Linked DNA regions of Notamacropus eugenii. Each later gene encodes a partner of the first gene's protein in a complex. Links are inferred from orthologs where the notes say so. Each region holds a gene or a part of one and is shown in the gene's direction. Other genes may lie near its edges. The genes, in order: ORC2, LRWD1, ORC5 and ORC4.

Region 1 (7,672 bases):
GATTTACTTCTATGAACACCTGCAGAGGGAAGTATTTACAATGATGTAAATGGATAGAATAACAGCAGTAACGACAATAACAAAATGACTGGAATGGAGTGCTATGAAAGGACGATGACCAGCTTAGCCCCAAAGAAGAGATAGGATACTTTCTTTTCTGCAGAGGTGAGCAACCCTGGGTGTGGACCATTACAAATTACATCTGACTTTCTTCATATGTTGTTTCATTTTTGTAGGATGTGTTTTTCTTTATTCCATTTTTTATTCTTTATTATGAGATGTGGATTTCTGGAAGAGGTAAGAAGAGAGATATAGTTAAATGGTATGAAAACAAAAGACATCGATAAAATTTTGTATTATAATTTTTTAACCACCTTAAACTATTGGAACTTGAACACAAAGTGAATCCATAGGTCCATGCTTAAGGTAAATCTTAAATTTAACTCTCAGGATTTTAACTGTCAAACTCCAGAATTTTCAGATAAAAAAAAATACTGTAAGAAGTCAGGAAGATCCCAGACACCAAAGAAAAACTGTCAGGATCACATAGGATTATGCAACCATTACTATAAAAGAAAGGAAATCTTGGAATAGAGTAAAACACAAGGCAAGAGAAAAAGACTTGGGATGAAGAATAACATCTTACAAAGAGGAACATAATCCTACAGGGAGGAAAATGGATCTTCAATAGAGTAGATGACAGCAAAGCATTCCTGGTGGGAAAAAAAAAACAAAGCTAGATAGAATTTTTGAAATGTAAATGCAGGAGATGAGAGAACCCTAGAAAGGCAAAATAGGTTCAAGCAATTTAAAAAAACTAAATGATAATCAAGTGCTTATATCTTAATTGGAGAAACGGAACTGCTGTCCCTTCAGAATGTAACTTGCTTCAAGGGTCAAAACAGGATCAAAGAAAAACAAACTCATAAAATGTAGGAAGCATAATGGATTAGAAAGAGGTCTTTTTGATTCCAAGTATAGCACTCCATCCACTGTACAACTTAGCTGCCTCTAAAAAATAAACAAATGGAAAAAAGCTGAATGAAATATTAAGCACATCTAATACAGACTACAATGAAATGAAAGTGTTAATCAATAAGGAAAATTTGAAGAAAGGATTTAAATTTAAGTAGAGACTAATATAATCTTGAAGAATGACTGGGTCAAAGAAAAAGTAGAGACAATAATTTGTCAATGGAAATGATAAAAATGATACTAATGTGATGGTATGAAGGTGGCTTCCATTTCTTTTTTAGTAAAGGAAAAATCTCATCGCTATGTGTGTTAGGGGCCTGGATACCACATTTTGAGAAATCAGCGGGTTAAATGCTCCAGTCTTATAAAAATGGAAAGTATCTATCAAAGAATTCTTGAAAGGAACTCCCAGATGAAAACTGTTAGGAATATCATAGCCAGAATCCAAAGCTTCCAGGTGAAGGAAAAATTGCTGAAAGCAGCCAGAAAGACAGAATTCAAGTACAGAGGATCCACAGTTGGGACAACACAAGATTTGGTTCCTATCAGTTAAAAGATAGGAGAGTTTGGAATGATACTCTCAAAAGGAAAAAAAGACCAAAAAAATCCACCATAGACTTAAAACCAAGAATAACTTATAATATTATCAAGGACCCTGACATACAGAAGGGCTTGTACAGGTTCTTAGATCTGCATTTCTAAAAGGAAAGCAACTTTTGAGGGGTCAACAATCACTTTAATCAAGCACATACATCATTTACTTAGTTCAGGGGAAAAAGTCAGCACCCTGAATTTTGGAGAAAATACAGAGAAACAAAGATCAACCAACAGACAGGGCTTCCAACTGTCTGACCATAAGTAATACATACATCACAGGTCACTAGACAGATAACTGTCTGACCATACATACATAGTTACCAGAGACAGAAGCACCAACATCTAGATTTTCAAAGCTGGGGGGCGCTCTTTAGTGTCTGCCCTGAGTCTGGTCTGGCCAAGCAAACACTTTCAATGAATAAGCCCCAAAACAAAACCTCTCCTCATAGTATATGTACACTTTTTTGGAGCTGGAGTGCATCACAACCCTTGAGAACCAGTGCTCCTTAACAAAAAGTATAAGCCTTCATACAAATCTCCCCTAATCAAATTCCCCTTAAGAGGTAGGCCCATTAATGAGTGGGAAAGATCTTCAATCTCATTAGCATTACACTTACCCAGAAAAACTGAAATAATCCTACAAGGGAGAAAATGGATCTTTAAAGAAATAGAAAACTTCTAAACATTTAATGAAAAGACCATAGAAGTGCTGTGTACTGTGTTTGAAGTGCAAGTGAAGAGGAATATAAAACAGTATAGGTCAAGAGGAATATAAAAAGGTAAATTCGCTTGAGCAATTGGAACAGATTATATAGGGTGAGGAAACATGTCATCTCAGAACCTAAATCATCAAGGGTTATAGCAGGAGTTAAATAAGATAAAGGTTTAGGGAGTTGTTTTGTTATGTTTTGATTATCGTAAGAGAAAAAAGAAAATGTAGGGGAAAAGAAATACACTAGAGAAGAAATGGGAGAAAAAATTTCTGTTTTACATATTCTGGGTGCTCAAATAGAAGAATATGCAAATAAGGAGGTAAACAAGTTGGGGGAAACAGATATTACCTGAACCTCAGTTTCATGTGAACAAGTCAAAGAGTATAGAAACCACACACACACACACACACACACACACACACACACACACACACATGAATTTGAAAAATTTATAACTCTAAATTCTTTCATCAACAAAAGAAAGAACAGATCCATGAATCTGGCATGTAACCTAACAACCAGAAACACAACAAATTAAAATACCTAAATTAAACACAAAACAAAGATATTAATCAAATTGAAAGCAAAAAATCATTGAATTAATAGACTATTAAAATAATGTAGGTAAACCATTATCTAATTTGATTTTTCAAAAAAAGGAAGACTAAGTTATTAACATCCAAAATGAAAAAGACAAATTTACCATGAAAGAAGAGTAGAAATTAAAAAAAAAAATTGTTAGAAACCATTTTGCCCAGTGATATGCTAGCTATGTGGTGCATTGGATAGAATGACAGACTCATCTTCCTGAATTCAAATCTGGCCTCAGACATAAGCTGTGTGACCCTGGGCAAGTCACTTAACTCTATTTCCCTTAGTTTCCTCACATGTAAAATGAACTGGAGAAGAAAATGGCAAACCATTCCAGTATCTCTACCAAGAAAACCCCAAACGGAGTCATGAAGAGTCAGACATGATTGAAAATGACAACAACATGCCAACAAAACCACTTAAATGAATGTAGACAAAAATATAAATTCTCATGTTAACAGAACAAGAAACAGAGAATTTAATCTAATCTCAGAAAATGAGACTGAATGAGCCATAAATAAACTCCCAAAGAATAAAAAAGGTCCAGAAACAAATGGATTTGTAAATGAATCCTATCAAATTTTCAAAGAAGATTAGTTCCAATATTGCATAAACTGCTTACAAAAACAGGAACAGATGGGATTTACTAAATTCCTCTTATGACACAAATATGTCATAATACCTAACTAGAAAAAGTTAATATGGAAAAAAGAAACTAAAGATCAGTATCTTTAATGAATGACACAAAAATTTTAATTCAAATATTGGCAAAGAGACCATAGCAACATATCAAAAAGGTTTTACACTTTGACCAAGTCTATATACCAATAATGCCAGGTTGGTTCTATATCAATAAAAGTACCGAAACAAGATACTATATTAACAATTTTAAAATCATGATTTTATCAAGATACATAAAAAGCTTCTGAGAAAATGACGTTTCTTATATTTTTTAAAAATGACTAAAAAGCAAGAATAATTTTTTCTTATTATAATTAAGTATTATATTTCCAAGACAAAGATACAGAGTTACTCATAATGGGGATAAATGAGAAGCCTTGCCAATAAGATCAGAGCTAAAGCAAGAATGTCCATTTATCACCACTCCTATTTGATAAAGTGCAAGTCATGCTACTTCAGAAAAGTTATAGTTTTTTCAAATGATATGTTGGTTTACTTAGAAAACCACAGTATCCACTAAAAATTAATTGAAACAATTAGGAACTTCAGAAAAATTTGCAGATTATAAGTTGAACCCCCATAAATAATCAGCATTTCTGTATATTACCAATAAAACTCAGAAGAAAGAGAAATTCAATTTAAAATAACTCTTGGCAGGTACAAAATACTTGGGAGTCTACCCACAAAGACACACACAAACCAGATGAACAGAACTTCACAACATCCCGCTCGGCTGGAAGACCACCACAGTCAACTCAGAGGAAGAGGAGTCTCACTCAGCTGGATCCACTTGTGCTGCCCTTGATGCTCCACAACTCCACAAAAGTTTATTAAGCCCCTTTTAGGTACAACGGGAAAGCCTGCTTCGAGGCCAGCATAAAAATTAGGCTGCTTTGCACGAGTCCAAACATCGAGATCTACCACGTGGTTTGGTGTGGGGCAGGGGAGGGGGGGGGCGGGGGGGGGGGAATCGCTTTACACCTTCCGCTCTCTCTGTTCCGCCCCTCTCTTCTCCTCCTTAGCCAATCACGAAGCGGTTTGCCCTGCGGGTACACCAACGCCATCCCGGAACCGGAAATTGCCCAAGAAGGGAGGGGTAATTGTTGTTTCCTGGAGAGTCTCCATTTCTCCGGCTGTTTCTAGGCGGGGCACGGCAAGGGGACGCTGATTGGCTCGCTGGCCCATCGCTCTCCGCCGCTTCAGCTTCCCATTGGCAGCTTCAGGGGCTGCCCCTTTGAGCAGGGCGGGAGATTCGGTGTGTGTCGGGAGGATCCCCTTCCTTGTCCCCTCAGCCATCTGTCCGGGCCTGTGGCGTTAGTTGCCCGTCTGCGTCTGCCTTCCGTTGCCGGGCCGTCGAGGTTGAGTTAGCATCGTTTCTTCACCCTCTTTAGTCTCGGGCTGTCGGTCGGGTGAGCGTGGGAGCGGTGGCGGGCCTGGGAGGCCGGGCGGGCCGGGCCCGGCCCAGCCGGCCTGCGGGGCCCGTGCCGAGGCCGGAGGTTCGGGCCAGGATGGGCGGGTTTCCGAGTACGCGCTTCCTCCTCCCCTTGGGAGCCTCCCTGGGCTCCGGCCGCACGCGTGGGGCTCCGGGCTCCCGCCGCGGGAGGCGGGGGCCCCGCCCCGGAGATGCTGGGAGCTGGAGAGGCTTGTGGTGGAGGGGTTTGGCTTGGCCGCAAGTCTTCCTTCTTCTTGTGCCTCAGTTTCTCCTTCCTGTAAAATGGGGCTAACATTGTTTCAGGTAAAGCGTTTGGTGAATTCGCGTGGTTGGAGTCCGGACAGCTCCTTTCCAGGTTACTCGTTATTCCCGAGGGATAATCCCCCTCCTTTTGACTTTGGTTATTGATGTCTCCTGACTCGTCCGAGCCTTCTTTTTAAGGGCGGGATCTTCTCTTTTTTCACCCTTGCATGCTTATCGCATAGAAGGTGGTAAGCGAGTGTCGTTAAAATTCCATCCTCCGCCCTGACCCTCAGACGCCTTCATTGGCAGCGCTACTGACAATCCAGAATTGTGAAGACTGAAAAGATCCTTTTGCCTGCGCGGGTGGATTGGGGCAGAGGTCAGTGGGAATTCTTTTGCTCACACCTGGGACAATAGTACACGGGGCATGGAGCTGTTAGGATGCTTCTATCCGACGGATACTTGATTGATTTATCACGTAGAATTAGGGTGTGACGTTATCTGGTAGTGTTCATTGCAGCTAACGAACAGATAAGGAAGAGTGGGCAGAACGCTGGGGCTGGAGTCCTGGGGCCTCACCCTGGCACTAGCTCTGTGACCCATGGCAAGTCAGTTAGCATCTGTTTGGTTCAGTTGGCACAGCTGTAAAATGGAGATGATACTTGCCTCACAAGGTTGCTTGTTGTGAGCATCAGAGGAGTTACTATTTGTAAAAAGCTGTGTGGCACAGCTCCTGGTCCACAGTAGGTGCTATGTAAATGCTTATTCCCCTCTTTCCCTTTTCTTTCCCTGCTTTTAAGTAAAGTCCTTTTTCAAAAGGGAAAAATCTTTTTAATGTAAATTGTACAAATGAATTAAAAATTATTAAATTATAATTATAAAAATTATTAAAATATGTAACTTTACTAGCCTGATTCAGGCTAGTAACTGCTGGTAACCAGTTACCAGACTTCTGATAAAGATTGTATTTTAGAGGTTATCTCGATGTACCATAAATTTTAAATTTGCCTAAATGTACTTGGCATAAATCTTTTTGGCCCTTATGAATGATTGCTTTATTATTTCTGTTAAGGTTGATAGTGGTGAACCATTTGAAGCTACTTCAAGAAGTCAGGATGCTGGAAGTTCAATTTGTAGGGGATGATGATGTTCTTAATCACATTCTTGATAAAGAAGAAGGTACAGAATGTCTAATTGTATTTGGAAAAATGCTTGTTTAATGTTTGACTCTTGTTTCACCTTTTGATAGATGAAAATATTTTGTTTCTTTAAATATCAGAGATATTTGATCTAACATACTAAGATTGTGTATAAAAATCTTTATTTCTGAGTTTTCCTTTTTTAAATGCTGTTAACTAAGAAACCAAATTAGCAAAACTCTATGAAACTTGTGAGATTGCTTAGTAGCAACAGTTAATTCTGGTTACAGAATTATGTGAATTTTATCAGTTGAGGTTGAGGCTTATGTTTGAAATTTAAATATCTAATTTGAAGTATTTGTGAAGGTTGACGTTAACTCAGTTCTAGAAAAGTATATACACTCTTTAAACAGATAAAGTTTTATTCTTCCTTTCCATCTTTAAAAAATTTAGGAAATGCAAAAATAATGCCAAAAGAAAACCATTTTTCTAATTTAACATTCAGAGGATTTTCAGTTTAGGTTATTTTTTGCTCTTTGGTTATAACTGCAGGGGCTAAATTTCGAAAGGATCGAGGTCAACTCTCAGTGAATGTAAAGAAACTAATGAAGAAGCAGGAAAGTGACCTAAATGAAGATGACCAGGAGGATTTAAAAGATGAGAACTATGTGGATATTCTAGGAACAGACCCTCAAGGTATTTGTTGAAAAAAAAAAAACTTCAAATCTCTGCTAATTGTCAATATGTAAAAATACTACCACGCTGTAGGATAAGTAGCAAAATGTTGCTTATAAATGAACATTGTGTTTCTGACTTCCTGTTAGTAGACAGCATGTAGTGTCTACTGAGACTGGATAGAGAGAGCCAGCATTGAAGTCAAAAAGAACTGGGTTCAAGTCTTGCCTCAAAAATATTGATCATATTTCTTTAAGGCTTACCTTATAAACAAACAAATCAATTTACCTCTTGGTACTCCAGGCAACTCTGAGACTTTCTCTTGCAGAGAAATGCTGTCCTGCATTTGTAGAGGGATCTTGCTTACTGAGGATTTCCCTATACCCAAAGAAATCATAGGTACAAGTCCTGTCGCTGTCAATAAAGCCTGTATTGTTTATTGTTTTTCCATGAATGAAGATGGATTTGTAGCTCCAATGGTACTTTGACCTGGTCCCTCATGTGACCTTTGGTTGAAAACTCAACATTGAGTTCTCTTGATAGTTAAACAGAAAAAAAAAAGGTACAAATTGGTGTTGAATTGATGATCTCAGTTAGTTTTTTAAAAACAATATTCTAATCTGTTG
Region 2 (7,443 bases), on another chromosome or scaffold:
CATTCTTTAGAAGCCACGAGGAAGTAGTAGAGATAAACTAATGGAGAGAGCTCTTTATAAACTGTTGGCTGTAATTCCAGCTCTGCTGTGGATTAGTTGGGGGACCTTACATTTGTCTGGGGATGAAATCTCCCTACCTGGTTAAGTGAGGGCATTGGAATGAGTGACCTTTAAGGTATCTCTCAATTCTAAAATTCTTTTTCAATATAGAATTTTGTATTATTTATTGCAGTTTGAGTTCATAAAAATATAACTACCAACTTGGAAAATGGGTATGTTAAACCCAACAAATCTATAGAAACATGGTACGTGATTAGATGTGACAGCCTTCTGGTATGAGAATGTACTGATACCCAGTATGTGCTTGCTCCCCAGATGCCCATGTTAAATTAAAACTGAAGTGGACAGAAGGACACAACCCAGTGATGTCCCAGCCACTTTGGGTTTCTAGAACCCGAGGAATTCTGGAGGGCTACCTCCTCAGAGTTCGGCATCCTAGGGCAGCCAGGGGGTTGGGCTTGCATGGAGTTCGGCAGGCCTCACCATGGCTTGTCCCCAGAAAGAAGTTAGGTCTGAGCCCCATTATTAACTTCCAGTTTCTCTGCTGGGCAGACATCCTCACTGTTAAGCAGTGAAAATCAAACTGGTTCCAGCCACCTTCTTGTGTGCAGAGGGTGGCATGGGTGGTACCATCTGGCACATAGGAGCATTACTAATACTGTCCTACAGCAATGTGAGAACGTCCACATCTCCTAACAAGAAACTCTGCCCAGGCACGTGGGCTCTGCCCTCTAGTGAAAGCTTTTCATAACCAGGGCATTCCTTTTGTTGGGTCTTGTATAAGGATTCTTCTGAACCCTAGGTAGGCCTCTCCCAACCCCTGCCCAAGGGAAGGCTGCCCAGCCCATGCTGATGGGTGTGGTCTCAGACTAGGGGCATTGCACCAGCAGCAAATCTGTCATTCAAATGACTGAGGTCAGGCAGTTCAGACTTCTATCGCCATCTTAGAACTTAAAAAAATAGACATTTAATGACATAAATCATCTTTTCATGGAATGTTGTGTATATTTAGAATGATGTCACTAGTCTTACATTGATTTGGTTGAGGTAGATATAATTAGTTAGGGGCCTTTTTAACTAAAGGAAACATTCATAGGCCAAGGTCCACCAAGAACAGGATCAGATCTTCTCAGCTGAGTTGGGACAAGGGTGTGCTGTGAGCTCCCGGCAGCCTGGCTGCTCTTGGGCAGCTGCAGCCTCAGTGGGACAGACTTCCCCAGCACAGACCCTCAAGGCCCTCAGCCTTACTTTTCCCCCAGAACAAAAACAATGAAAGGTGAGAATTCCCCAAACTGCTCTGACAATGGAGCAGGACTCGATGGTGCCACGTTTGGCTTCCGGGTTTCAAGTGTGCTTTTCTTAAAACTGTGTGTTTTCAGGATCAGTAGCGCTGTTGGGTCCTGGACTCATTTCTTGACAAATCTGGGTACTGGCTCCCTTTCTCTAGAACTGTCACACAGGTTTTCCTTGGAATGACAGAGCTATTTCCAGGAGTTCCTGCCCTAGTTCTTCCTGCTTTCCTCCAGGACAGAACTCAGCTGACAGTTCTCGGAAGGTGGCACAGATTCGGTGGCTTTCAATGTGCTGGCGGTGGATGGCATGTTTCCACTGATAGCGGGCAGCCCCAAACAACACGAGCAGGGACCTGGCGGGTAAGTGAATGGCCACTTCCACAAGGTCACACGGAACAGATCTCCAGGTGCTCTGACCCTCCTCTGGGTCTCCCATCTTTGTGTCATTGGGCAAGGAGTTCCCTGTTCCCTGCTGGGACACAGAGAGTAACTGAAGTCTCTCATCTGAATCCCGAGACATAGATAGGACTGTTGGTGAGAGCAGATTGAGGCTGACTAGCCGCTCTCCCCAGAGCCAGGAGTCATCCAAGTGGGGGTCGATTGCAGAGCCTCGTTCAGGGTGGTAGTCCAAGTTACACTGTTCAACTGGAAGGAACCTCTCCAGGATGGGGTGAACCCCCATCCTCTGCACAATTTCCCGACTGAAGCTGGGCAGGCCATCAAAGCTGCCAGGTTTCAGCTTCTGTTTCCTAAAATTGACTCTGGGGCCATAGTCCTATAGAAAGGGGAAAACAGAAGAGGGCAAGGAAAAAGGAATGGTGATTTTCACTTAAAAAAAAAATTTCACAGCCAGCAATTTCCTTATCAAACAAATCTGAAGTAAGTGCCTAAGGAGTTGAACAAAGATATCCAGGTAGAATGGATTTCTAACTCAAATGTCTGTAGGCCTAAACTAGCCATGGTTCAATGACAGCCACTGAGCCCTGTATCTGGGGGCCACCAGTGCTCCCCTATCTGTGCTATGGGGCTTGAGCTCCCTGCACACCTTGGGAGATGGTCTCTGGGGGCTGCTCTGGCCAAAATAATTGCCACTTGATGAGCCCTCCAGTGAGCTGATTCCCCAGACAAATGGTGTTTCTAGCTGGACACCTTTCTGGCTTGGTAGGATCCACCTGAGCTTGGGCTTCTGCTGAAGAAGACTTCAGGGGAGGGCGTTGTTATCGGTACACAACACAGCTGGGAAGTGCTATAACACAGCAAGATGAACACTAACGGCAGAAGGGGATAGCAACTTCCATCAACCACCTGTGGCTGGTTCCATTTGCCACAGAAACAATTCTGCAAATGGTGATGCATAGGCTGTACCTGTTTCCTTCTTCCAGACTGTGAAAGTTTCCAGTCATCTTGATCCATTAACCGAACCAGTTCAGCTTCCTCCTCAGCACTAACAAAGTTTTTTATCAGAGATACTCCTGGGAAAGGAAAAGCCCAGCCAGCAAATTCTGATTTCTCTGTTCCTACAGCCAAACCCGTTTCTGAACAGTAGATGAAATGGGCTGTCTTCTGCAGAGGAAAAGACAGAAGCAAGGTCCTGGAATGAGCAAGTTTCATTTTCAGGGGTCAAGTCTCCATGATCATCTTCTGTCCTCACCAGGGAAGGAAGGAAACAAGCACTCATTAAGCACCTTATACCTCATTTGATCCTTACCTTGGGAGGGAAGTGCTATTATGATACCCATTTTACAGAAGAAGAAACTGAGGCAGACAGGTGAAGTGGCTTGCCCAGGCTCACAGAGCTAGTGTCTGAGGCTGGATTTGAATTCACTGCTCTGTTCCCAGCCATCCCTGGGTAGATAATCTCAATCCCATGTTCTTTTTCCTGAGAAGCTGGAAGTTTAACAATCTATTTCTCTCTCCCCGGTTCCTGGGTTCTAGCATATCCAAGTCTCTCCTCCTCTGCCCATTGCCTGCTCCCCCTCTATCACTGCCCCCCAGCCACCAGCCCCTCCTGACTCAGTGTTCCCTGCAGCCCCGGGGCCCCCAGTTTCACTGATTCTTCTTTTCCCTCCTCCCCCATTCTTTCTTCCAGCCCAGGCCCATAACTGTTTCTCTTTTAGGCAGGAATCCTGAGGGTCTTCCCCTCCCAGTTTGATTTGGTTTTTTTGGATTAAAGAGGCCATCCCTTGAGTAACTTAAAGAAGCCTATTCACTGAATGGGTGTAGAAGTGAGAATGCTAGAAGACCTTAGCCTGAAAGGGCCAGGGTCTCCCAGTGCATCCTGGGCCATCTCCAGTCCTCCGGACCAACATCAGGCCACTGGACCCAGATGGCTCAGGAGGAGAAAGTGAGGCTGGTGACCTGCGCAGCCCTCCCTCCCTCAGACCAAAGTCAGCTGCAAGTCATGTCACCATCTTGATGTCACGGTCCTCTTAGAAGGAAGGACGAACACAACCATCGGCCCTCCCAAGACTCCCCCGAGAGGCCCCGCAGGAATCCCATCCTCGCTGACCCGGACCGCACAGACGCGTGCCCGTCCCACCACACGGTGCAGCCTGGTCACGGGGGCGGCCTTGGAGGAGGGGGGCCGTCCGGCGGGGCCCAGCAGCGCCCGAGGACGGCTCCCACCGGCAGTGGGGACTAGAATGGGCAGGGCCGCCCGTCCCACGCCGCTCATCGGGGCGGCAGAGCGGAGACGGAGCACCGCAGGAAGGACAAGGGCCCCAAGCCGGGCTGGCGGCGGCCGCCAATTTCAGGGCTCTCGGCCTCGGTCTGCCCGTCTGTGAAATGGAGCTGACGACGTCTCCGCCCCCACGAAGCCCCTGGGGTGAAGAGCCCCGCCCGAAGCCACACAAGTAGGGGGGTGCCCGCCCAGGCCCAGGCGCCCCTCCCCACCGACTCCCACCTGTGGGGGCAGGGCTCCGGGCACGCCGCCGCCTCGCTCCCGCTCGCACAGCAGGCAGGTCCGGACTCCTTTGCAGCCGCAGCCTCGAGGCCGCGCCCCGCAGCCGCTCCGGCCCCCGCCGCCCGCAGCCGCCATGCCGGTGCCCGGAACGCCGCCGGGCGGGCAGCCTCAGCGGGGCGTGTGCGCAGGCGCGAGCCGCGGGGGCCGCTGGGAGAGGTAGTCCCGCGGGGCCAGGACACGTGGGATCCTGCTCGGCCGGGCCCTTTTCCGGCCGGCGCCGCGCGAACCTCTCCAGCTCGAACCGCCGGCAGAGGCCGAGGCCGCGCTCCGAGCTTTAGCGTCGCCTCCGTCCGGGCCCCGGGTGAGCTCGTGGAGACAGCCCCAGGTGGCGGCCAGCCTCGGCGTGCAGGGCCTCGCGGCGGGGAGGCAGCGTGCGCCTGCGAAGGCCGGCGGCCATGGGCCGGCTCAAAACCCCGCTGCTACTGCAGAGGGGCTACCCCAAGTCCGACCGGCTCGGCAGGATCAAGAAGCTCGAGTAAGGCTGGGCGGGGACGTGCGCGCGCGCGCGTGCGCGTATATGTATGTGTGCGCGGGGGAGGGAGGACACGCGTGTGCGTGCGTTAGCGTGGTGCGAGTGTGCGCGTGCGCGCCCGTGTTCCTCCGCATGGTGCCTTTGGGGGCCAGTGTGCGTGCGTCCCTGCGGCGCTTCTGTCTCTGTGTCCCCCTCTGGCTCCTTGGTGACTGCGTGCGCGTGCGTGTCCGCGAGGTGCGTTGTGCGCGTGCGTGTCCGCGAGGTGCGTTGTGCGCGTGCGTACGCACACTGCCCTCCAGCTGCTTCTGCCTGTGCGGGTGTCCGCACCCTCGCCGCCACGCCCCCAAGCCCCGGAGCCACAGGTGCTAAGGTGGCCACCGCGATGACCCCCGCCCCCTCCGTGCCCCCGCCAGCTGCCCGGTGTGCTTCTCTGCGTGCCCACGTCGGTCTTCGCTGCGGGGTCCTGTGCCTGGCGCAGCTCAAGCCGGGCCTGAGGGTCAGGGATAGGGCCCCTGCCCGCTAGTGGCCACCCTGGAGCCGGGGCCCCCTGCCCCTTGGTGTCCACCCGCTGGTGCCCGTTCTGGTGCCAGGGCCTCCTGCCCGCTAGTGCCCGCCCTGGTGCCGGGCCCGGCTCCCCTCCGTGTGACTGTACTTTCCGTGGTACCCCTGCTGCTGCTCGTATTATGCAGGCTGCTGGAGTCCCTGCCCCCCTTCCTGCCCAGGGCTGTGACTGGTGCTCCAACCCTCCTCCTGCCCCAGTGGAACCGAACTGTCCCTCACTTGTTATGGAGAGCCAGAAGAGTGACCTGGGCAGAAGGGACGACACAACTCCCTTCCTTGAATGAAGGGGTTCAAAACTACTTTTGACCCTTGTCCCTGTGTGCCCCAAGCACTATGTCCCCTCTCATCCTTCCCCCTGCTTCCCCCTCAGTCAAGGAGAGGGCAAAGCATGCTAAGGACAGACCCTGCCCTCAGGAAGCTCACCCTGTGGTGGGGGAGACCAGACACCCAGAGAAGAAAGCCCCCCAGTTTTCACCAGACTGGGGGGAGCCCAGCCCTTTAGACCCTCCACCCCCTCCCCCCTTTTCCCCACCACAGTTTGTCAAACCTTCAGCTTCAGACAAAAGACCTGGACCTCAAACTCCTCAATCGAATGAAGCAGCTGAAGGAGCTGGATCTGTCAGATAACCTGCTGGAGAAGGTGCCTGAGGGCCTGGACCTGCCCTGTCTGCAGGTCCTCAAGTGCTCCAACAACCAGCTGGAGGATGTCACCCCCCTGCAGCAGTTTACAGCTCTGGAGGAGGTGGATTTCGAGGACAACTTATACCTGACGGTGAGCTGGGGCAGGGGTCATCCACCGGCATTTCTTTAGGAAGTGTCTACTAAGTGTGCGGTGCTGTGGATTATGGGAAGAGTGAGGGATGGATGGAAACAGGCACAGAATCCAGTAGGAGAACCTGAGTTCAGATTCCACCTCTGACACCTTATGACCTTACTGGTCTCATGTTAGAAGTGCAGAAATTCTCATTTTCTCATCTAATTGAACAGGATATTTCTTAATCCAGTGCTTTCTCTCTGTTGATTATTTCTTATTTAGCCTGTGTGTAGCCATGTCTCTTTAAAAACATACATAATGTGATATACAAGCATATGTGTGATGTCATGCATTTGTCTGTTTATAGCACATGTGTGTTACACATGTCTTGTGTCATGTGTATTATATTGTTTAATTTTATGTAACCATGTGTATACATAAATGCATGTACATTAAATACAAGCACACCTGTACTATAATACGTGTATACGTAGGTATAACTGTTTGTACGTCACATGTTTGTGCACAGTTGTGTGTGTTGTCTCCCCATTACACTTACAAAGACCATCTTTTGTTTTTCTCTCTATCCCCAGCAATTAACATGGTACCTCGAATATAGTAGGTGCTTAGTGAGTGTTTGCTGATTGACTAGATGGTCCTCAAGAGGCCCCTTTAGCTCCAGGTTTAGGATCCTGTGCTGGGGACTGTAAGGGATGCACAGCCACCAGGAAGACCAAACAGGCCCTGCCCTCAAAGCACATGGAATTCATAGAGGGATAACACATCTGTGAAGGAATATTCAGAATAAGTAAACAGTAAACACAAAGTAATTAGGAAGGAGGGCTCTGGGGGAGGGCTGGGGGTCAGGAAAGGTGTCTTGTAAAAGGTGGGAGTTGAGCTGAGTGTTGAAGGAAGAGAGGGATTTGGTAAAAAGGAAGAACATTCCAGGAATGGGAAGCTTGTAGTCTCATCTAGAAGCCAGGCCTGGCAGAAGAGGGAACGTGAGCTGGGAAGGGGCCCTCTGTGCCAAGGCTGGAGGAGAACCCAGAGCTCAGGGAGCTTACAAGTGGTGCCTGTGGCAAAGCATCATGGTCCAGTGGGAAGGGGACCAAACTAGCCTGGGCCTCAGGAGATCCGTCTCTGCCACTGACTTGCTGTAAGGAAGTTATTTAAGATATCTGGGGCTCAGTTTGCTCCCGTGTAAAACTGATGGGAGCTAGGGAGGTGAGGAGAATTTAATCAGCTGGTCTCTCAGGGGACATTTACCTCTGACATTGGGACTTGGTAGCTTGAGGTCTGGATTGGTGGCAAAGATTGCTTGTTCCTGAGCTTGTCTGTATTC
Region 3 (7,733 bases), on another chromosome or scaffold:
GCTGAGTGACTGTGGGGAAAGGCTAACATGGAAAGCTAATAGTTGGAAATACCTGCTGTAGAGATAATCAAAGGGATATTGAAGAGAGTATAATCTTTAAAAAAAAAAAAAAGTGCAAACTTCCTGAAGAAATTACTTGCTTTTCCAAAGGATTATATTTTTGGGGGGGTGTTCATTAATACATCTAAACTGTCAATTTAAATCTAAATAGATTTCACTCATCTTAATAGATACCAGTAAGAAATTAAATAACTTTGACACAATGTGTCAAATAAGAGTTTAATAGCTATAAAATATTGTTAGTAATAAGACTTGATTTCATAATATTCTTTTTTTATTTTTAATTTTTTAAGATATCCAGTTTGGAGATACAGGGGCATGCAGAGGCCCAGTCCAATTGTGATTAGCACAGGAACTTTGACCTGTTCAGTTTTCAATCTGGGCTAGTTTACCTCTCCTTCAGCAACCCTTTCTATTAATGAAAAGCTCACCATATTAATGCCAAACTTAACCCTATGGCTCAGCTTACTGTACCTCAGACTTCATAAGCTCAAGACAGTCAGGAGTCTCAACCTCCTGGGCAGCAGAATTTATAGCAGCCTTCCACCTTCTCCCAGTCAGTCATAACATTATTTTTTTTTAAAATTAAATTTTTAATTTTATTAAAATTAAATAAATTAAATTTTATTTTATTAAATTTATTTATTAAAATTATTAAATTTAATTATAAATTAAAATTAAAATAAATTCAATTTATTTTATTTTCAGTTCCAAATTCTTTTTTATTTCCCCTTCTACCTGTTGAGAAGGCATGGAAAAACAAAGGTCATTACAAATATGTATAGTTATGAAAAACAAAATCCACAATTAGCAATGCTTCATACCCTTCCAAAAAAAAGAAAACATGCTTCAATCTATACTGAGACAAAGATCTCTTGCTTTCTGTAGGTGGAGAGCATGTCTCATCAGGAGTCCTTTGGAATTATGGTTGGTCACTGTGTTGAGTTTCTAAGTTGATTATCTTTAGAATATTGTTGTTATTATATAAATTGTTCTGGTTCTGTTCACTTCACTTTACATCAGTTCCTACAGATCTTCTCCTTCATCATTTCTTACAAAACAGTAGTATTCCATTCTATTCATATACCTTAAGTTGTTTAGGCATTCCCCAATTGATGGGCAACTTCTCAGCTTCCAATTTTTTGCTACCACTAAAAGAGCTAAAATATATTTATACATATGGGTGCTTTTCCTTTCTTTGATTTCTTGGGGATATATGGTCATACATACAAAGTTGATGTCAATGACTCATCATCAGTAAGACCTAGATAGTAAGACTTCAGATAGAATAAATGCTTCTAGAAAGCAGGGGCTATTTCTTTGTTTTTGTTCCCTCCCTCTCCTGTATCTCTGGGGCAGCTAGGTGGTGCAGTGGATAGAGCACCAGTGCAGGAGGTCAGGAGGACCTGAGTTCAAATCTCATCTCAGACACTTGACACTCACTAGCTGTGTGACCTTGGGCAAGTCACTTAACCTCAGTTGCCTCATCCTGAGCCACCTCCAGTCATCCTGATGAATATCTGGTCACTGGATTCAGATGGCTCTGGAAGAGAAGTGAGGCTGGTGACCTGCGCAGCCCTCCCTCACTCAAAGCAAAGTCAATACAAGTCATGTCATTATTTCTCTGATGGCATGGTCTTCTTTGTCAACAAAGGACGAACACACATTTCCTGTATCTCCAGTGTCTAGCATGGTGTTTGACAAAGGAGCTTAATAAATACTTACTGAAGTGAGTTTTAGCAATGGTAGTGGATTAAATATAATTTTAGGCATACTAATACTTGCCCATATAATCAAGAACACACTACAAATCAATATTAGAATATTTTGTTATTGCAAAGAACAAATTATATTCAAATCAAAGCTCATGTAATTTACTGAGAATGGGTTAAAGAGTAAAGTGCCTTAGGTTTGGAATAAGGTATTTAACTCTCTGCTATGATGTGAGACCTTTAAGTAATTAATTTTTCTTAGCCAAAGCAATTATGGAAAAAACCACAGCTGGGGCCAAGTTTCCTCAAAAATAAAATGTAGTTATTCCTCTACCTTCTTTTTTGGGGGATTAGTAATCTCATCTCTGGATTCAGCTGTTTTATAGCCTCTTTAATGTCTTCCTTGCATGCTTACACCAATGATAATGATAGCTATCACTTATAGTGTTATAAGGACTGTGGAGAGTTTTTCATATATTCTCTCATTTGATTCCCATCACACCCCTATGAGATAGGTGTTATCACCTCCATTTTACAGATGGAGAAGCTAAGGCTCAGTGATTTACTCTGGGTCACACAATCTGTTACAGGCAAGCTGTGAAGCTAAACTACTTAATATGGTCATTCAAATTTGATTCCTCTGAACTACTGCTAGTCTTTTAAAAATTATGCCAACAACTTTGTTCATCTTGATCCATAAAATTGTTATTTTACCAGCCCTAGTAAGTCATCTATCTCTTGACAGAGAAATGATGCTCAAAATGAAGAATGAGAAGTATTTTTGGCCAATTGCTTGACTATGAATATGTGACAAGGGTTGTTTTTTGCTTGCTTTTTAAAATTTTTGTCTGTGTAACTGGACAGGGGTAGAAGGGAGGCAATTAATTCCCTGTTTTTTTCACTGGTGGTTCTCCCCATGCCTAAAATGCTCTTTCCTCACCATTTAGTACAGTATTGGCTTCCTTGTGCTCCATCAAGTTCAAATCCCATCTACCTTCTGCAAGTCACCTTCCCCCCACACTACTATTGCTTCCCCCCTCCCCCAACGTTTACCTACTGTGAATGGAATTATGATTTTCTTATTAAATGATATAAGTATAATGAATATACCCACAGATCAGATTTTTCAGAATTGTTTTTTCTAGCTTGTGAGTCAGATGCTCACAATGCAGCTTGAAATGATCAATCAAACCTTGACAGTGCTCACAATCACTGGCATTCTTGTGCCTGTGTACGTAAAGTGAAGGGAATCAAACACTGTAGAACCTGTTTGAGCCTCAGAGAACTCTGGTTCTGTGACCTACTAAGGAATGATCCCCAAAGTCTTGAGATCCTCCTACAGACTCCAGAATCGTAGTATTGTCTTCCACTGGTGGGCTTGTTATGGAAAACCACATGAGAAATGATTGTTTGTAATCTACATTCTCCCCCCCCCCCCTTTATCATGGTGATTTTTATATAATCTCTGTCTTCACTGCAGCAAGGTGGAATTCTGATGAGGAAAACTGGATTTGCAAATCTCTTCCTCAGAATGAAACTAATTAAATGGCTACCTGATTACTGGCACTTTGTCTCTGGCCTGCTGTTTCTTCATTCCCAGGCTAGAGACTGGCCCAGTGAAATCCTGTTATTGCTACCATTAGCTAGACATCTTGTATAACCGTAGTATTTAGCATGTTTTCTCCCTCATTCGTGCCAGGTACATGGTAAGGCCTGATTGTTTGTGTACTGATCTGCTAAATGGGAAAATAATAAAATTAGATTTAAAAATAAAGAAATGAAACATGCATTTATTAATTGCTAACTATATGCCAGGTACCATGTTACATACATAAACACACACAATTTTATATGTAATTTACTAACTCTTCAGGATGCTGTATATACATTCGTACCTTGCGGTGTGTCTGTACACACATATATGGGCTGTATATTGATAACATTTAATATCATTTTTGGACTTTAACATGGGCCAGAGCCTGAATTAATCAATCAGAAGAAGAGCCTGGATCTAACATTCTCCTTGTTCTCTTAGGTAAACTCAGAGAATACCTCTTCTTATGTCAACAAGGCCAGATGGGGCTGACTTAGCATTCTTTATGAGACCCTTAACGCAAGACACTATCTTGAACAATGGGACTTTTTCCATATCTTAATGTTTTGTGGACATATACTATGTTACAGCACGTTAATGGTAAAGAAAACACAGATATGCTGGATAGTCATTTCAGTTGAAACGGTCACCTCTCTTATTTATAACCTATTCAATTAAGAAAACTCCTTTCTCATGGTATAGTCAAACACATAGAAGAGACCACCAATCTGAGGGGCACGGACATCCCTGCTTGTCCGAAAGCAGATTTAAACCTGGGCATTGTGGGATCAGTCGGTCAGAGATGCCCTTCTCGGCCCGTACTGCCAGCTTTAAGGGAACAACCAAAAGTTTGGTTTTGTCACCAAACGTTCAGGTCGACGACATATAAAAGCGCTGTGTGTTTATGTACACACACATGCACGTGTAATTTGTATTTACACATACACACAATTCCTACGTGTGCGTATTCACCCTAGCCCGTCAGAGAAGCCGGGGTCACCATGCATGTCCTGGGGAGCACCAGAGCGCACCACGAACCTTGCCCAGCTCTCTAAAAACCCCGAACGTCAGCTCCACGCGGCAGGATGCCGGCCCCGCCTCTTTTCATCCCGGCGCCGTGGGCGTGGCCACCCGGGCCCGAGGCCTACCTAAGGGAAGCCCCAGCAGGCCCCCTTCGCTGTCCTCCCGCTCAGCCTCCGGATGACCGGGGGAGGATCTGGGCCCTCTCCTTTTTCCTCAGTCTTAGGAGAACCTAGAAAAGCCCGCACAGGCTGCCGGTACCCCAGGAGGGGGCGTCTGAAGCGGCTCCCGGCCCGCGCGCCCTCCCCAAGGACGCCGACCGCCGACGCCGGCGCGGTGACGTCACGACGCCGACGTGCTGGCGTCCGGCCATAAAGGCTGCTGAAGCCCGGGGAGGTTGGACCGGGGCTTTTTAAGCGTCTAGCGGGCGCTCGCTGGGTGTTGAGTTCCCGTCTGTGTCGCGTGCTCTTCTTTTGGCGGGGGGGCGCGGTAAAGGCCGCCCCAGGCGTCCGCTGCTCTTTTCTCCCCGTGGCGGGTTCATCGCCCCCCTCCGCTGCGATGCTTCCTCTGGAGAACGCGGTGCTTTGTCGCGAATCCCAGGTGTCTGCTTTGACGGCCTTGTTTGGAGAGGTACTGTTCCTTAGACGGCTTCCTTAAACGTTACTTTTCAGACCTCGCTTTTGCCTCCTCAGCCGGCGGAGTGAGGGGAGCGCCGGCCTTGAGTCCGGAGCCCCGAGTTCGAGTCTTGCCTGAGACGTCCAGCGGCTCTGTGCCTCTGGGCTCGTGGCTTGGCCTCGCAGCCTCCGTGTTCTCATCTATGGGAGAAAAAAGTGGGGATCAAAGTCCCGGGTCACTGAGGATCGGATGGGGCCGCAGACAGCCCTCTCTGTCCTCTTCCTCGTCCCCCCAGCTCCCCAAAGTGAACATACTCAGATTCTGCGGGGTCTTGCCACAGGTGGACTAGGCTAAGGAAAGAGACTTGTAGAACTTTGAGAAGCCTTGACTTCTGACCAGTGGCCCAAAATGAAGAGCCTGCGGGGCACCGCAGTTTGGCAGAGCACTTTGATGTCTTGAGGGAGGGAGGGTCTGAGCTGGAAGCCCTAGTGGCAGTTTATCATTATCCACAGTCCCCTTGGAAGGTTGAGTTCGTTTGTGGGGGTGTAGCACAAAGCAGCTTGCCCGACACGCGAGGTCTTGGTAAGGGCTGTATTTTTGAGGTGTGCTGTGTTGGCTGGTTCTGGTTTCAGTGAGGTTGTTGGGAAGTTGGGCTTCATGCCTAGCAATCCAGGAGTTTGCTCTCTAAAATCCCTGACAGCTGGTTTGACCATTTCCTACCAGAACGGTTAGGTGAAAGGCCCATTGGCCAGGGAGAAGACTCTTAGGGAGTTTGGAAACATTCTACCGCCCCCAGCAGGTTTCGAAGGAAATAATAATGCCAAGTGAGGCATACTAATATCTCAGATCATATTCTACTTAGAATTTTGTTGTGGTTACTCAAAATGTGGTCATCTTACTTGGTTCACGGAATGTCATATTTGGAAAGGACACTTAAAGGCCCAATATACGCAGTTTCCTCTATATAACATCCACTACTAAATTAGGTTTAGTGAAAAGACTATTGGACTGAGAGCCAAGGAGACCTGGGTTTCATTCTTTGCTCTGCCACTAACAGGGATAACACTGGTCTTCATTTAGCATCTTGGGGCTTCTATTTCTTTAGTTGCAAAAATGATGGTTCTCCAAGGTACCCTTTCCTCTCTGACTTTCAGTTAAACATCTGGTAATAGGTACTTCACTGTATCACAATGCAGCCCATTCTGTTTTGGGATATCTCTAATTGTTCTTTCTTGTATTGAGACAATGTTTTTGTTTGGGGATATCTCTAATTGTTCTTCCTTGTATTGAAACAAAGTTTTCCTCTCTTTAAGAAAGTGAGAATGCTGTAGGACCTTAACCTGAAAGGGCCAGGGTCTCACATTGCATCCTGGGCCATCTCCAGTCGTCCTGATGAATATCAGGCCACTGTATCCAGATGGCTGAGGAGAAGAAAGAGAGGTTGGTGACCATGCACAGTCCTCCCTCACTCAAAGTCAACTGCAAGTCATGTCATCATCTTGATGGCATGGTCCTCTTTGAGAACGAAGGACAAACACAACAATTATCTTTAATGTCCACCCATTGATCCAAGATCTGTCCTGTGGAGCCATGAAGAATAAGTCTGGTCGTTCTTCTGCATGGTAGCCTTTCATAATTTTGTGGACCACCATCCTATCTTTTCTCTAGTCTGGTCATATCTGTTTTCTTTAACTTTTCCTTATATGCAATAATCATCTCACTGTCCTCACTACTCATACCACCATCCTATAGATGTATTCCAGCTTGCCCAGGGTCACAGAGCTAATATACCAGAGGCATGATATGTGTAAAGAGTCATTTCGCATAATGGATAGAGAAAACTTGAGTTCATTCATTCAGTAAACATTTATTAAGTATGTGCCAGGCATTGTGCTACGTGCAGGGGATGCAGAAAGAGGCCAAATAAATAGGAAATAATTAAAAGAGGGAAATCACTAGAATTAAGAGGGAGTAGAGAAGACTTCCTGGAGAAGGCAGGATTTTAGTTGGAACTTAAAGGAAACCAGTGTATTGGCTTAGGAGTTAAAAAAAGCCCTGATGAGGAATCAGGCAAAACAAAGCAAAAATCCCCAAAAAGGTCCCTGTCCTTGAGGAGTTCATGTTGTAGTGCTTAGATATGTCATTACTCCTATGGTTCTCATTCAGCTAGGATACTAACTGAATTACATAGGAAGTGCATAGTAAAGTTATATATGATAAGTATTTGATAACCTTGTCACCATTTCAACTAATGGTGATGTCAGAGGACCTGGACGTGCCTTTCTTCCTTAGTGGAGGATGAGAATAAAAGAAAAATAAGAGGCAGAGTAGTTTAGTAGGGCAACATGTGACTGGATAGACCCAGGAGACATATGGCGTGGAAAAGTATATCAAAGTGGGGGCCAAAGGCAGCCAGCCATGTTTTACTGTTCAGTCAAGATTTGGCATGGTAGATCAGTTTTGAGACAGTTTTACTGTGCCTCTTTGGAATTAATTATCTTGGGTAGTCACGGCAGACCTTTCTAACCTCTTTATATATCACTTCACTTCCCATATATTTGTTCTAGCCCAAGTGGTCCTGCTGTTTCTCGCAATCAGCATTTCATTTCCCATCTCTCGGGCCTTGCACAAGCTATCCCATATGCTCAGGGTACGTGCCCTCCTCACCTCTACATTTTAGGCTACTTAATTTCTTTTAAAGTTCAGCTCAGGTGCCAACTTCTATAAGGAAC
Region 4 (7,505 bases), on another chromosome or scaffold:
ACAACTGCTACTTTGCATACCTGGGGCAGGACGTCTTTTTACTCCAATGACCCATCACTGTATTCTTCACCTTATAAAATTAAAGTCAGCTAAATCAGTTTCAAATCAAAACATGCTAGTATGTTTTTTCTAAGTTGGATCAACGATCACTATCTATTACAATCTTATCATCTATCAAAAAAATTCTTTAAGTCTATTCTATGCTTTTATTCAGATGGACAGTAGTCTTTTTCTATGATTAAGTAATATTACTGTATGATTTATATACAGAATCCAGCTGTTAAGGAAAGACTGGAAGGAGGGGAGGATGAAAGCTAGAAAAAGAAATTATTTGAATAAAAAGCTAGGGAGAAAGAGGACGGAGAGAAGCACACCTAAAAAGATAGCATTCTAGTTCCTGAGTTGTATTTATTATTGCAAAAAGTCAGTCATGGATCCTTAACACAATGGTGGAAAAAAAAATGACTGCCTGATTAAAATACTGGGCGAAAAGAGCAAATTTGGAAAGAAACAACCTGGTTCTCACAAGAAAGTGAGAAAGCATTTGCTTATGGATGAATTCAATTTATTATCTAGAAAACTGATGCCAAATTACTTAAATTAAGATAGAAATGTACTGTTTATTGTCATAAAACTATAAGTTTGATTTTTACTTTAACCTTCTCATAGAAAATGCATAGAAAAACCTAATTTCCTGGTTTTCGTACAGACCAAACCTCCAAAACATGATTTTAAAGGAAAACTGAAAAAGTTATACAAACTGAAATCAGGCAGCATGATCTTGTGGTAAGGCCATTTGCTGAAAGTGAGAAGCCCTGATTTTGCCACTGGAAAGCAGTATGACCTTGGACTGCTTACTTAATCATTTTGGGCCTCAGTGGATATATCTTTAAATCGGAGCTGCACAGAGAACTATGTTAGGGTTAAATTATTTCTGAAGTCTTTGCAAGCGAAAAAAAAAAAAAGACCAAAAAACTTTGTTCTTTGAGTCAGAAGGGTTGGATTCGAGTCCTATTATTAGTTACATGACCTTGGTTAAGTGAGTTAGTTTCTCTGCATCTCAGTTTCCTCCTCTGTAAAATGGGAATAATAATATTGGTACTCTCTCACAATGTTGTCCGGAAAGTTCTTGGTAAACCTTAAAGCACCATATGAATATGAGTTATCAGTATTATATTCCTATGACTCTAACAGCACAACTATTATTCCCAAATAAACATGATAAAACCACTACCAATTATATTTTCGAATACTAGTTAATCTTCAATTTGGAAAGTTTAGTATAAACAGCCCACAAAGGGTTACTTAGATAGAAATCTATATAAGGTACTGGGGGAGGTTTTCAGAGGCACAGGGCAAATAAAAGGTATTGTACTCAAGACACAAATTTAAGAAGTTTTACTTAGCTGCCCACTGGGCAACTATTTTGAACCACCCCAGTTAGCTACTCAATTTTCTTCACTTTCAATTGATTCCTTCACTAAAGTGTCACCCTATGTCTCATAAGTTACAGGTTGCTCTGGTTCCATACAGAGGACAGAAAATAGACCTGAGATGATGTTGATCTTAGGGCAATAAACCTGAACATGGCACAGGTTTCTGCTTGCATATGAAGCACACCAATATCACTTCAAATAAAGACAAGAGAAGGACTACACTAATTTTGTAACAAGAGAACAGGAAATAGAATCATATGTTTATTTCAACAGCTTTTTTTCTTGCATGTAAACAACTACTCTTGCACAAGTTGTTAATTACAATTTTACAGAGCAAGTTTCTGCACATATGCATGACATATTAGAACACTAATAGGATCTCCTTTGACTTAGTCTAAAAATATAAGATTAAAATTAAAAATTGCTAGTTATATTTATTTCTCTAGTCACCTATTTATAATATTTATGTTACATATCATTCGAGATTTATTTTTCACCCATCTTTTCCAGGCTGATCAAATTGCTGTTTTCATATTGCTAGTCTGATCACAAAATTGCTGTTTTACAGAAGAATATTTTTTGCTGACATAAATTATGGGATCAGAGATACCAATGCATTTACAAAGAAAGGATTTGTGTGTGTATATGTACGTGTATATCCCTCTTCAAATAAAGGATAAAGAACATGCATGTATGAAACTGAATCCCATTTTCTAACTCAAGCCTTACCAAAAGGCCTACATACTAGCGTTCAGAAAAATACTTTCCAGCATTTGTAAAATGAAAGCACTCTCACAATTCCAAGGAAAACCAGTAAAGGAAGGTTACTAATAAAAATAGATAATAGCATTTTTTAATAAAAATAAAGGCTGAATAAGTTTTAAGCCTATATACGTATGCTATGTTTTTGTCTGACACCATGACTCCTGCACTTTGTGATTTCCTTGATTTTCAAAAGCATCTTTCAAAAATCTTTCTTTTATATGTAATAAGCAAATAGGTTCACTACCCCAAGAGATGAAAAATACATCGCAATTTACAAGAGTAAATAAATAATTCAGTTAAAACTGAAAGTGATACCCAATCCAGCAAACTATTGATGGAAAAGCTTGGCTTTCCTTGAAATCAAAATAACAAAAGTTTTCAAGTGGGGGTGACTTGTTTCTGCTAACTTAAAAGGAGTAGAATACCCAACTTAATTATACAGTAGTTATAATTCAAGCTTACTGAAAACAAATTCAATCAAAAATGAATGTGGGAAAAGAAAATACAGGTATTTTTTAAACTTTGCCTTTTGAGCATTAAACTTTATGTAGTGATATATGGAACCAATTAGATAAAAAGTGAAGGATAGTAGACAAACCATGCCCTACCACTTCTGTTAGTAAATATTTTCAATACTTTACAAGAGAAATCTATATCTCTGAGAAACAACCAAAAACTGAAATTTCAACCACAAAACCAAAAATACCAAGAAGCCTATTCCAAAACTGGAGTCAATATCCAAATTAGATACAGGGCCAAAAAGGGGAAAACTCACGTCTATAAATGGGCAAAGTAGTTCTAATACAATCCATATTATGACATTTCCCCACTCAGAATCAAAACCAGTGTAGGTTTTACTGGGCAAAGAGAAAAAAGGCTCTGCAATTGAATTTTTTTTAAAGTGACAGATCTAAAAACTCTCTCTCTCTCTCTCTCTCTCTCTCTCTCTCTCTCTCTCTCTCTCTCTCTCTCTCTTCTCCCCTCTCCCCTTCTCCCCCCCCTCCCCTGCCAGCCCCATTGCAGGAATGGGTTTGTTTTTCTGTCTTACCCCACAGAAGCAGAGACACAATAATCTGCCACATGAAGGGGAGAAATCACTTTTGCAAACAACAAATAAAAATAAAAGTATCCTTTTCCTGGCTAGCAAGAGGGAGATGGGAATCCCAGCACACACACACACTTTCTAGTCCATCCCCTTCTTCAGTCCCCCCCACCTCCCAGCACCACCACCTACGCCCCCCACTTCACCCCCCGATCTCCACTGCGTATGTGGTTTGGTGCTACTGTTGCCCCGAAGTGAAAGTCAGAGCCAGAGGGAGGCAATGAAGCCCCCACAGACACACTTACCTTTCCTGCCCCCCACTTTTGAGTCCCTTCCCTGGAGCTGTGGAGGATGACACAAAGGGTAATAAAGGGGGGGAGTGGAGGAGGAGGAGGAGGAGAGAGGAGGAGGAGGAGGAGAGCAGAAGGAGGAGGAGGAGAGCAGGAGTGGAGGAGGAGGAGGAGGAGAGCTGGAAGTGGCTGCTCCTGGGTGTAGTGAGATGTCTCCAGCCAGGGCCAAGCAGCAGCAGCAGCAGGAGCTTTAGCAGCAGCAGCAGCTTGGGCAGCAGCAGCAGCAGCAGCAGCTTTAGCAGCAGCTTTAGCAGCAGCAGCACAGAAGGGGCTGTGTTGCTAAGAGGCTTTTGGTCTCTTTCTCTCCTCCTCTCACGGCCAAAGAGAGGGAGGTGGAGGGGGTTGAGCAGAGACAGGAGGGGGGGGCAGGAGTGGTAAGGGGGGGTTGGAAGAAGAAGAAGAAACTCTCCTTCTCTCTCAGGCTCAATTCCCCTCTCTGAGCTCAGGGGTGGAGGGTGGGGGAAGGAACTCAATCGCCTCCCCCCTTCGCAATTCAAGGTTGAAGTGGGGTAAAATTAGTGTCCTGTCCCTTTAAAAATAGAAATAAAAGGTGCCCCCCCTTAGCCTCTGCCTCTCTCTTCATCATCAGCTGCTGCTGCTGCTGGGGTCTCTCTGGTTTGGGGGGGAGGGGGGTTCTGTTAGAAGAGATGGGAGGTTCTCACTGCGCATGTCCCTCCCTGACGGGAGGCTGGTTGGTCGAGGGCAGGAGGAGGGGGAGGGGAGGAAATGAGATGGTTACCCAGAAGGCATCTCGGCGCCCGCGACCCGGAAGGTGTTGGAGGGAAGGACGGGGGTGAGGGATAACGGGGAAGGAGGCGGGGGCAGGGGGAGACTAGGAGGAGGAGGAGGAGGAGGAGGAGGAGAAGAAGGAGGAGGAAGTTGAATTCTTCAGCTTCCCCCTCCCACCTCCAGGAGAGCTGATGAGCGGAAGTGGGCGGGGAAGGAGTAGAGGGGTCACGTGTGATGAGAGAAAGGGGCGGGCAGTGGACTGGGTGGCCCTGGCGTGGAGCGGAGCATGCCGGGATCCATCGCGCCCTGGCGGTGGCAGGAGCCTAGTCTAAGCCGTCAGTCAGAGGAGAAGGGGGCACTGCCGCGGCCGCCTCGGGACGCGCCGTCTTCGTTCTCCGGTAAGGACCTAGGCAACCTGCGTAGGCATTTAATCTAGGGCCGAAGCAGGTTGCGATGGAGAGAGGGAGCGAGGCAGGCGCAGATTCCACCGCCCCTATGGTGATGGGAGAGCAGAAGAGGAAGGAAAAACGAGGAAAGCAGGCAGGCTGGCTAGGCCGGACGGACCCAGATAGGCCCCCCCACCCCCGATCCCAGCGCGGAGGCCCCGGCTCGCTGTCTGATGCGGAGGCTGCCAAGGTCGCGGCCAGACAGGCGCTCGTTGTGGCGGAGGAGCGGTGTTTTGAGAGGGAGATGGCGCTTCAGGTGAAGGTGCCGAGGCGGGCGGTAGGATGGACGGGGGTCCATCCTGGAACGGGGGAGGGGATGAGGGGGAGAAACTGTCTTGAAAGGACTGGCTGGGCAACCTGACGCAGATGTGTGCATTTTTTCCTGAGGTGCAGTCCAAGTGTTGATTCTCTGCGCCATTCTGTCGTTACCCTTGGTCGCCCCCACCCTCTCCATCTGCTCCCCGTTGGGGGAGGGGGCCGGCGCGGACGCCTCGCGTCTCCCCTGGCCTGCTGTTCGCCGAGCCTCCACTCACTCCTACGTCTTCCCTTCCGAAGCCACGGATGAGCTTGTGTGGCCGTAATGACGGTGAATAACTGAGACTTAGCGTTTTAAGGACATCTAGGGATAGATTAGGAAGAAGGGATGCTCTTGGCATCATTAAATATTTAAGGAAAGAGAAGGTTGGTGTTGAGAATCGTAAAAAAAAATTAATGGGGAGGGGGTTTGGTTCGATTTCTTTGGATTTTAAGCTAAATTTGGTCCCCTACCCAAATGAAATGCTGAAAATTTCATCTGTGAGGGAGGAGGAAGGTTAATATTAAGTACTTGATCTAAAGGTCACGTTTAATCTGAGTGCTGGAAGCTAATGGGGTTGAATAGGCAGGGGAGTTTGCATAAATAAAGCTTCTTTTGCAGAACTGCATAGTGCTGTTTTTTTCTCCGTTTCTAAAAGACATCTGATGGAGATCTTTAGGAAAAATCTTTTTTTAGGGTACTTATTTTTAAAAGATTAACATCAGTGTTTCAGGAGCTATTTCTCCTAAACAAAAAATGTAACATGAATTCTTTCTTATGAAACAACATCTTTTACAATGCGTTACAGATACCATTTAGGAGTCCATCTATTGTTACAGAAACTATTTTCAGAGTTTGATTTCTTCTATATTGTTTTGTGCATCAAAACCTTAATTCACTAACACTCAAAGTTCATCCCTTTGTAGAAGGTTACAGACTGAGTTATAACACAGTTTATTTGATTTAAAGTGTCCATGAGATTTATGTCTGAAGCTAAAAAACTATAGGTGGAGGACTAGAAAATATTCATCTATATGAGATGTTAAACAGCAGAGAATTTTATTGGGAGAACTGGGGAATCCTTTCACTTGAAGATATTCGAAAAGAGACCTTTGGAAATAGAGGCATACTCAAAGTGAATAACTTTGATTGAAAGGATGCTTATTTTTCAGATGTTCTACTTGTGTACACCATTTGGAAAGGTAAAACTGGTGTCCAAATCTTATCATGTAAAATATACACACACCCCTACCCACCCTTCTGTAAACATTAAGGATTGCCTGTCAGCTCCAGAATAAAATATAAAATCCTCTGGTGATCTAAGTAAACCCTTTATAACCTTGCTCTTTTCCCCATATTCTGTGGTCAATGACACTGGCCTCCTTTCTGTACCTCCCACAAAGCATTCAGTCTCCATGATGCTGAGCATTTTTGTAGGCTATCCTCTGTACTTGGAATTATCTTCTTTTTTATATCAGTCCCTATCTTCCCTTCGAATCTCATCTCAAATCTCACCTTCCAAAAGAAACCTCTCCTGATGCTCTCTAAGGCCTCATACCTTCCCCCTGGTTAGTTATCTCTTAAATTGTCCTGTAAAAGTTTTATTTGTACATAGTTACATGTAAGTTCCACATGTCCTGTTTCCCCCCACCACCCAGCACTTTGGGAACAAAGGCTAGGTTTTGTTTTTTTTATTCCTCTCTTTGTATCTCAAGTGCTTATTACCACTTTGCATGGTTCGTAGTAAGCTCTTAACAGATGCTTGTTGAACAACAGATAAAATCTCAGCACTGAATTGTAATGGAAAATGTGCATTTTCAATGATGCTGAACTTCATTGTTGCAAAATTTTAATGCCAGTTTTCTTATTGATGGTATTTGGCTGCAGATGGTAGAAGGGCAACCTTGAAAGAATCAAAAGTTAGGATAAGACAGAGAAAGGAAGGAAAGTTTTATTTAGCTCTTACAATATGGGAGAGGAAGGTACCTGGTTTTTAGAGTATGATTTGAAGTCCAAAAAGTCAAGGATAGGACTAGGAGGACAAAGAAGGCAAGTTGTTGTGGGCTTTTCCAAAACAATGAAACCTCCAGGAGGAACTCAGCACTGGGAGGAGATTGAGCAGGTGACAGGGGTGGTTCTTTAGAAGGAGTTCTTAGGCACTCAGGCAAGTTCCAAGGTAGAAAAGACATGATTATAAAGTCCAGAAAGTGGAGGAAAAAATTCATCCTTGGATCCAAAATAACTTGCTCCGTAACCATGTCACAGTGTTGATTCCTATTGATTACATGTGAATCTTGGGCAAAGTTAATAAGTAAAGGGTATGTTGATGGCCATGAAACATTTTTTTGTTTGTTTGTTTACTATTTAGTTCCTTTGTAAAAAAAAACCAAACAGCAGCTTCCATTCTTATGTTTTCCAGCAGAGCCACCTTTTTACTTAAAA

The links.
Region 2: the proteins of ORC2 (region 1) and LRWD1 are in contact, whole or in part, in a crystal structure (PDB 8SIU), measured with the Rattus norvegicus proteins. The link is inferred for Notamacropus eugenii from reciprocal best matches to the Homo sapiens genes ORC2 and LRWD1. Residues at the interface, in NP_001012003.1 of Rattus norvegicus: Val11, Pro12, Ser13, Val14, Gln15, Phe16, Val17, Gly18, Asp19, Val22, Leu23, Ser24, His25, Ile26, Leu27, Asp28; in XP_038945348.1 of Rattus norvegicus: Pro262, Leu263, His264, Phe265, Leu266, Gln267, Cys268, Ser270, Asn273, Ser274, Pro275, Leu320, Val321, Leu322, His323, Lys324, Tyr325, Lys326, Leu367, Val369, Gly372, Phe373, Cys374, Pro596, Pro598, Val599, Ala600, Val605, Ile630.
Region 3: the proteins of ORC2 (region 1) and ORC5 are in contact, whole or in part, in a cryo-EM structure (PDB 7JPO), measured with the Homo sapiens proteins. The link is inferred for Notamacropus eugenii from reciprocal best matches to the Homo sapiens genes ORC2 and ORC5. Residues at the interface, in NP_006181.1 of Homo sapiens: Val240, Glu241, Tyr243, Phe244, Glu245, Ser248, Asp396, Gln398, Arg401, Gly402, Glu403, His426, Asn428, Ala429, Pro430, Leu431, Met432, Trp433, Asp434, His435, Gln438, Trp445; in NP_002544.1 of Homo sapiens: Asp324, Lys325, Phe328, Leu329, Leu359, Asp360, Arg361, Ala364, Tyr367, Ser368, Ala378, Asn379, Phe381, Ser382, Gln383, Thr385, Ser386, Thr389, Asp400, Gln401, Leu402, Asp403, Tyr407.
Region 4: the proteins of ORC2 (region 1) and ORC4 are in contact, whole or in part, in a cryo-EM structure (PDB 7JPP), measured with the Homo sapiens proteins. The link is inferred for Notamacropus eugenii from reciprocal best matches to the Homo sapiens genes ORC2 and ORC4. Residues at the interface, in NP_006181.1 of Homo sapiens: Asp501, Asp504, Tyr508, Ser512, Gln518, Glu522, Val554; in NP_001177808.1 of Homo sapiens: Lys168, Asn169, Arg195, Glu200, Leu201, Lys204, Arg205.

What each region holds. Positions count from the first base shown.
Region 1 is NC_092877.1:297,133,129-297,140,800, reverse strand, and holds the start of ORC2 (origin recognition complex subunit 2), read left to right. Parts: upstream 1-4,663; 5' UTR 4,664-4,966; intron 4,967-5,085; exon of another isoform or gene 5,086-5,474; 5' UTR 5,475-5,611; intron 5,612-6,304; 5' UTR 6,305-6,347; coding exon 6,348-6,411; intron 6,412-6,923; coding exon 6,924-7,067; intron 7,068-7,672. UniProt on the Homo sapiens protein: Component of the origin recognition complex (ORC) that binds origins of replication. DNA-binding is ATP-dependent. The specific DNA sequences that define origins of replication have not been identified yet.
Region 2 is NC_092873.1:51,644,201-51,651,643, reverse strand, and holds the start of LRWD1 (leucine-rich repeat and WD repeat-containing protein 1), read left to right. Parts: upstream 1-4,440; 5' UTR 4,441-4,709; coding exon 4,710-4,789; intron 4,790-5,884; coding exon 5,885-6,119; intron 6,120-7,443. Other genes in the region: ALKBH4 (alpha-ketoglutarate-dependent dioxygenase alkB homolog 4), read right to left, coding at 1,513-2,127, 2,718-2,915, 4,255-4,389. UniProt on the Homo sapiens protein: Required for G1/S transition. Recruits and stabilizes the origin recognition complex (ORC) onto chromatin during G1 to establish pre-replication complex (preRC) and to heterochromatic sites in post-replicated cells.
Region 3 is NC_092874.1:151,805,243-151,812,975, forward strand, and holds the start of ORC5 (origin recognition complex subunit 5), read left to right. Parts: upstream 1-4,719; 5' UTR 4,720-4,944; coding exon 4,945-5,016; intron 5,017-6,314; exon of another isoform or gene 6,315-6,441; intron 6,442-7,573; exon of another isoform or gene 7,574-7,642; coding exon of another isoform or gene 7,643-7,651; intron 7,652-7,733. UniProt on the Homo sapiens protein: Component of the origin recognition complex (ORC) that binds origins of replication. DNA-binding is ATP-dependent. The specific DNA sequences that define origins of replication have not been identified yet.
Region 4 is NC_092876.1:282,812,575-282,820,079, forward strand, and holds the start of ORC4 (origin recognition complex subunit 4), read left to right. Parts: upstream 1-4,489; 5' UTR 4,490-4,720; exon of another isoform or gene 4,721-5,024; intron 5,025-7,505. UniProt on the Homo sapiens protein: Component of the origin recognition complex (ORC) that binds origins of replication. DNA-binding is ATP-dependent. The specific DNA sequences that define origins of replication have not been identified yet.